Linked DNA regions of Coturnix japonica. The protein of the gene in region 1 interacts with the protein of each later gene in a pairwise test. Links are inferred from orthologs where the notes say so. Each region holds a gene or a part of one and is shown in the gene's direction. Other genes may lie near its edges.

The links. The genes of interacting proteins can lie anywhere in the genome.
Region 2: the proteins of FAM168A (region 1) and UBASH3B interact in binary tests that used the Homo sapiens proteins (3 or more experiments, as listed by UniProt). The two-hybrid records come from large-scale screens. The link is inferred for Coturnix japonica from reciprocal best matches to the Homo sapiens genes FAM168A and UBASH3B.

What each region holds. Positions count from the first base shown.
Region 1 is NC_029516.1:174,975,222-174,978,721, reverse strand, and holds part of FAM168A (protein FAM168A), read left to right. Parts: intron 1-25; coding exon 26-168; intron 169-2,237; coding exon 2,238-2,412; intron 2,413-3,383; coding exon 3,384-3,496; 3' UTR 3,497-3,500.
Region 2 is NC_029539.1:2,677,940-2,682,007, reverse strand, and holds the start of UBASH3B (ubiquitin-associated and SH3 domain-containing protein B), read left to right. Parts: upstream 1-1,268; 5' UTR 1,269-1,459; coding exon 1,460-1,623; intron 1,624-4,068. UniProt on the Homo sapiens protein: Interferes with CBL-mediated down-regulation and degradation of receptor-type tyrosine kinases. Promotes accumulation of activated target receptors, such as T-cell receptors and EGFR, on the cell surface.

The sequences.
Region 1 (3,500 bases):
TACAAACCTCTGCTTTCTTCACCAGGGTACACTGCGGGGACTCCCTACAAGGTCCCACCGACCCAGAGCAACAACGCGCCTCCTCCCTACTCTCCGTCTCCGAATCCATACCAAACTGCTATGTACCCCATCAGAAGTGCCTACCCACAGCAGAACCTGTACACCCAGGTACGTGCCTCACTCTGCATCTCCCACCACCACCTGATACGTCCCCTTGGGCTCTTTCCTCCCCAAATCCCACATGTGAACACTGGGGCTCGGGTGTCAATGCCATACATGAGCTTGTGGTCCCCATCCCGGTGGCATCCCATGGGCCTTGCTCTCCTGCTTCCTATGGCACAGCCCCCTTTGTCACCTTCACCAGCATGGCCCAGATTTGTGTCCTTGAGCTCCTGGCTGGGCTCCCAGCGCCATCTTCTGTGCTCCAGCATTGCTTTCTGCCTCCAGCCATGCACCAGAGCCAAGACCCCATGTTGGACAGGTGTCCTCCAAAAATCTCCTTGCTGCCTCTTCCTGTAGGAGATAATGAGCTCCTTGCAGCACTCTGGCCCTGCAGCTTTCCTGGCTTTTCTTTTTTTTTCCTTCCACTTTAATGGCTAATAGGACTTCTCTTGCAGCAGTGACCTGGTTTCTCCATGCCAGGTTGCATTCAGAGCATCTCCTCTGCCCCATTTTGTCCACTTTCCTTCCATTAGCTGAGCACAGGGGAAGCTATCAGGGTCAGAAGTGTGCTCAGGTGCTCTCTGCTGGTTCCTGACATGCTCCCCATCACCTGGCACAAAAGATGGAGGCAGCTTTGCCAGCAGCTCTTTGCTGCCATTGGGACTTAATCCTGCAGGGTGACCCTTGCTGTGTCGGAACAGTGGAGCCTGGTGTCAAGCTCAGGCATTTTGCAAGGAAGATGCTGGCTGCTGAGATGAGTACAGGCAGGAGAAGGCTGAATCAGGATCATAGAGTCACCAAGGTTGGAAAATACCTCCCAAGATCTTCCAGCCCAGACAACCACCCACCACCACTATTTGCCCATGGAAGGTTGTGTGCTGTCCTGATCCTGGGCTGGGCATGCAGCTGAATCCCAGGAAGGCTATCAGCTGCTCCATGCTCTGCTCTACCAGAAGGGTATCAGGCTGATTTCTGTCCCCTTCCACATCTCTCTTGGCAAGTTCTTCCCTTCCTCAATGTAATGCAGTGTGTCTACAATCCACCCTGAAAGGAAGAAGTAATATGATAGTTCATCCGTTTCTCCTTTCCCCCCTTCATCCATACCTGAAGGGCTTCTCCCATGCCTGTCCCAGACTGCAATAAGATCTCCCCTCATTGTTCTCAGCCCTCTGATCCCTCCGACCTTCCCTGTTCTTGCAGCACTGCACTGCTCACGTTTCGGGATCACCGTTACATGGGATGTGGGGCTTTCTCTGTTGGCTCCTTTCTTTTCTCCCCCTTGTTTCCAGCTCCCTCGGCTCTCAGTAGCCCGGATTTCAGAACCCCTCTGTCTCCTTTTGGAAACCTGAGGAGCTGGTGCTCCCTTTTGTCTGCCCGCTTCCCGCGCCGAGGCAGGCCCTTTGGGATCAGATGGGGCCACAGTTCCTCCTTCCCTTAGTTCTCTTGCTCATTTTGCATGCCAGCAGCCAACATACTTTGGACTTGGCCCCATTTCATCCCATCAAACCATGCAGTGTTTTATGGAACCATGGGATTGTTAAGGTTGGGAAAGACTGCTAAGTCCATCAAGTCCAACCATTGACCCATCACCGCCATGCCCCCTACCCATGATCATATGAATCCATATAGAATCATGGAATTGCTCAGGTTGGAAAAGACCTTAAAGATCATCAAGTCCAACTGCAACCCAACCATCCTGCCCTAGAAACCCTCCACTAAGTCGTGTCCCTGAGCACCACATCCAATGGATCTTAATAATAAATGGATCATAAATGGATCTTAAATGCATTCAGGGGTGGTGACTCAACCACCTCCCTGGGGACCCCATTCCAGTGCTTATTGCCATTCCCTCTGGAGGAATAAATAAATCCTTCTGTTTGAAATTGTCCTGGGAGGAACTTGGAAAGGGGTGGAGGCTGGAAGAACTTCTAGAGAATGGGAAAAAATGTGGATTGGGGGTTTCTTTCCCAGCTGTGTGTGCTCCATCCATTGGGACCAGCCGTGCCGATACATGCTCGGGACGTGGGCTTTCTGTGGGATGACAAAGCCGGTGGTGTTTTCCCTTTCTCAAACAGGGAGCTTATTATACCCAGCCAGTGTACGCGGCACAGCCTCACGTTATCCATCACACCACCGTGGTTCAGCCCAACAGCATCCCCTCGGCCATCTACCCGGCCCCTGTCGCTGCGCCCCGCACCAACGGCGTGGCCATGGGGATGGTCGCTGGCACCACCATGGCCATGTCAGCAGGTAAGAGGCTCCTCTTTGGCCCCACAGATCCAGAGCAGTGGGTTCAGCTCTTGGATGGGACAAACCCAAGCAACCCACACAGGCAGATATCAATTAGTTTGCACTTCATGCTGATACCACTCAAGGCCGTAGGGCTGCAGAGGAGCTCTTCCATTTGTTGTGCCCTAGAGGGATTCACTTTTGCACTCTGTTCCACAAATAAAGCAACAGCCAAGCTCACCCTTCTCCAGCCATGGCTGCATTTCTACTCTCGAGCTCTTTGTTAAGATACTTACCATCCTGCAGCACACACTTAATGAAACAAGTATTAACCTTGGTTTACACATCACTCTCAAATCCTGTGTGTTGCATGCATGGGGTAATTTCAGTCCTCGTAAAACATGATTAACTGAAGACACATTAAGTCACTGAGCCAGGCTGTGGGCTGTTTTATTTTTTTCCAAAGCCTGTATTTCTCTCCTCAGAGGTTCTCCAGAAAACAATTCATAGCACTGTGTGCTGAATTATGCAAAGAAAGGCATTGTTCACCCATTTGCATCTGCATTAGCTGAGAAATAGGGCTCTGTTGACTCCCTGTTATACGGAGGGATTGCAGCCTGTGCCTCACAAGAACCACTCTGAGATATTTACTACTGTTGCTTGCACTGAGAAGTGGGCAGATGTAATTAATGCATTCAGGATGCCCTAAAGTTCCAAGCACCCCATTACTCTTAGAGCAGAAACATTTGAGATCGTATTCTCCCTTTTTGAGTCTGCTGAAGGCACCGTGCACAATCTCACTTGGAATCCCCAGCTTGTCATGGCTCATAGAGGAGGGGATGCTCCTGATGTGCCCCAGGGCTCTCTGGGGTCTGCTCCTTGGGGCTCTCCAAAGCCTCTTTGACGTGGTGCTAGGTTAGCGATATCCCTTCTCACCTCCCCCCATGCTGTGATACTTTCACGCCAAGCCTTTCTCCTCGCTGTTGCTGCAGGAACCTTGTTGACCACCCCACAACACACTGCCATCGGAGCACATCCAGTTTCCGTGCCAACGTACCGGGCTCAAGGAACCCCCACCTACAGCTACGTACCGCCGCACTGGTAAACCC
Region 2 (4,068 bases), on another chromosome or scaffold:
ATCATCCCCTAAGAATGCATCTTCCTGGAGGTAAAGGGACCATGTGTGAGTTTCAAGGAGGAAGCATTATTTCAAGGAATACATTCCAATGCAAAAAGCCTCACCTTGATCCAATGCAGAGGCACTCACCAAGGTTGCAAAGACCTGAGGCTGCTCCAGCAGGCCTGAAAAGCCATTCCATGCAGGTATGCAGCTTAGGAACTTCAACACTGCATTATATGGATTTCTTAATTGAATCTGGAGCAGCCAGAGGAAAGGGATTCTCATCTGGGCAAAGTCCTTGGAAGCTGCATCCATAACAAATTGCATTTCTGTTCTTACTTCCTGACTGACTAATACAGATGGAGCAAAAAAAGCACACAGAAGTGAGGCACGTTGACTTAAGTCAAAACACAGCAACCCTCTCCTCCCTCATAGGTTCTGATGGTGTGAATTCCTGGATATTGTTCAGATTCTGGAAGGTTTTGGGAAGGTGTGAAGGCTGGGTCAGTACCTCACCTCTGGATAACAGCAGGAAAGAAGGTGCTTCATTGATACAACAAACCAGCAATGATAGGGATAGGTTTGTCACTGCCAACACTGCTTCCTGCTCCAGCATAAATTGTTGCACTTGAAAGAACAGCATCTTCACTGCTTTTATTTGTGTGCAGGGCTGTGTGCTCTCAATGCTCCCTGCCTTCCTGGGTGCTCAGCAGGGTGGACCTGTCTGCCTTCAGATGGAGGAACTGGGGCAGGGGGGGATGTGGAAGAAAGGCAAAGGAGAGGTGAGAGGAGGAGGAGGAGGAGGATAACTCTTGAAGCTCTCCAAGGGGGAATTCCGAAGCCACATACTGCGTGTGATGGCCTGGAGAGGGCCGTGGAGGATGCAGAAACCCAGGATGGTGATAGAAAATTCGGAGCGCAACTCTGTTGCCTCTAACTAGATCTGCTTCAAAGCTCCGTGCTCTCACAGCTCATCCAGCGGCACAGAGACCTGGAACCCCACAGCCCCAGAGTTCCGAGATCACCCAACCTCCCCCATGTGCTGCCTCTTCCCGGAGGAAAGAGGAGCATCGCGCAGAGCTCTTTCCTCCGGGAAAATAAAGAAAGAAATAAACAAATAAGAAAACAAAAATAATAGTGCCCACCTTCCCCGCTTTCCACAAGGCAACCGGCGCTCTTCCAGCAACCCAGAGAACCCCTCCACCCCCTTTCCTCCTCCTCCTCCCCCCTCTTCCATCCCTTAGCGGAGCCCGCGGCGCCGGGCGGCGGCTTTAAGAGCGGGGGCGGGCTGAGCGGGGCCGCGGTGCGGGCATTCGGCTCCCCGAGCTCCGGAGCGGCCGCCGGGTGCGCACGTGTGGCCCCGGGGCCGCGGAGCAGCGCGGAGCGGAGGAGGGCGCAGCCCCTCGGCCCTGCCCCGACCGCGGCCCCTGTTGGGGCGCTGCGGTGTGCATGGCCCTGCGAGGCCGGCGATGGCTGCATGATGGCCCAGCGCGGGCAGCCCGCACCGCACGCCATGGCTGCCAAAGAGGAGCTGTACAGCAAAGTCATCCCCCGGCGGAACCGGCAGCACCGAGCGGGGACCATCAAACACGGCTCGTCGCTGGAGATCCTGCTGTCAATGGGTTTCCCCAAAGCTCGGGCGTAAGTCTCCGCGAGGCTCCTTTCCCCCCCCCCCCTTTTCGTTTTTCCCCGTCGCGGAGATGCGCGCTCGGAGCCGGGCTGGGGGCTGCGCACAACCGGGGCTCTCGGGGCCCTCTTGGGCGGGGATGCTGCGGCCGAGCGGAGCCGTGGGGCCGCTGCGGATCCTGGAGGGTGGCGGAGGGGGAGCGGAGGGTCCCGGGCGCAGGTGGGCTCCAGCGCCGCTGTAAGATCGGGGTCACAGCGGAGCGATGCTTCGGTCCCCCCTGGCTGAATGCAGAGCCCGTTCCTGCGCTCTGAGCGCTGCCTGGGCACCGTGCGTTACACACAAGAAGGGAAGGAGATAGAGAAGATGTCAGTAGTGCGAAGTGGAAGGGTTTTCTGGTCTAATATAGTGATGTCCCGCTCTAATTTTCCTGCTCGTGCTTTAAATGAATGAGGCAGCAACGTAATGATAGCTTAACTATCCTGGTTTAAATATAGTGACTCCTAAAGTGGGACTGTGAGTTAGGAGGGAAATGAGATGGGGTGGGGGGGATTTGGATGTTTCCTTGATCTGCTTAAGTTTCCCTGTTGCTGCTGATGCCAGTCAGAAGTCATTGGGTTTTATTCAGACATCCCTGTGTGGTTTTTGTCCATAAATACAGAGACACACACACTCAGTCCTAAGGACAAATGTCAGGCTGCTGTGGACCTGCTGGCACAGCCATCAAGTCCCGTGCGTGCTTTCCATTGTCCTACTTATGCTCCTTCTGCCTGTCAGTGATCTGCAGTCATGTACGGAAAACCAACGTGTACGGCACTTACAGACAATGCCTGCAAATGAAGATAGTACGAAAGTGGTGACTTCATGCTCTGTGCTTGTTGGGAAAAACAGATGTGCAGCTTCCAGAGTAGCTGGAGAGAGAAGGAGGTTGAGTGTGAATGGAAGTGGCTGTTACCTGTGCAACAGTGCCGTCACAGCTGGCAGGCAGCCCTGGTTGCACCTCACTGCGTGCTGAGGAGCTCTGTGTATGGTTTATACTCCTGCCTAAGGAAACTCCAATATTTGATAAAAATGAAACCAAAGCTTCATGTGTATAGAATAGGAAAGGTTAAACACGGAATGCAAAGCAGAGAGAGGGGAGAAATATCCCCTGCTGCAAGGAATGCTCATTGGAAATGCCACCAGGCAGCGGGGTAGATTGTCTGGATACTAAATCCAGGATACTGTGCTGTAACCCTGCTGGACAACGTGCCTGTCTGCTGGGACGGGTCTGCTTTCCCCATCTGAAGGAGCTCGCAGTGCCCTGTTCCAGCCTGCTGGAAATCCTGCAAATAATTCATCTCTGAAGTTCACATAAGTAGCAAAACAGAAATAACAGCAGACAACCTGGCTCTGACACCGAGGGTGAGCTCAGAAGGGTGAGAAGGGCAACAAGGAAGCAGGACCTGCCCCAAGGGGCTCTGCTGCCTTCTAACTCCTGCCACATCGCTGTGCTGTGTAAATGCAGGAGATAGCCAAGTTGCTAAGGAGGCAAAACACCATCTCCCCCAGAGACACGGCGGCATAACAGCCTTAGCAGAGAGCCCTGGTGAGTCTTGGCCCAAAGTTCTCCTGCCCATTCTGCATCCCAAAGCTGGGATAACGGCAGGCAGTGGGGAGCTGGGTGAAGCAGGGCTGCAGCCAGGCTGGCACTGTACAGGGGTGACCATCTGCTCCAAAGCCTTGTGACAACAGAGCTCCGAGCTGTCTGACTCGTCTGCCAGGCATGATGCTGAGGGCCATCACTGCTGGCAGCAGCCGGGCTCCTGGCACCTCCCTGGGCTGCATGGCACAGCTGGGCCAGGGGATGTGCTTGGAGATGGCATGAGTGCTGCTTTCAGGTGACACCTGGTATTGAGAGCGTGCTGAGACACTGCCCAGCATCCACTCTTCCTATCCCTCAGCTTCCAATTCCAGCAATTTCAGGTACTTCCTACCACAGGTCAGAAAGAGACCTCAAGGTTTCCCTACTCTGTCCATCTCTTTTCCTCCTTCCCAGCAGCAGCTGCAGTTCAGCTGAGCTGCTGTGAGCTACAGTGCGGTGCAATGCAAACTGGGGGCATCACCTCTGGATGGCAGTTGCTGAAACCACTGCACTACATCAGCATTTCGGGCTGTTGCTGTGAGAGCTATTTGTTGGGCTTTTCCTCTGAGCACAGGTTCATTATTTTTTCATTTTGTAATTAGCCCATTACATTACGTACTGTTAAGTCACAAAGGAGACCGTCCTGATCTCAAATAGTTCCTGACTGAAGCCAGGAAGGAGGGCAGAGGTGATGTTATCATTGCCATTTTGCAACTTGGGCACTCAGGCAAACATTCTACCCAAGGTTACACACCAGTCCAAGCAGATCCTCAGCGTCTCAAGACCCTCAACACAACCACATCTTCTTCTAGAAAGGGATTTCACATGGCTGTCGTTT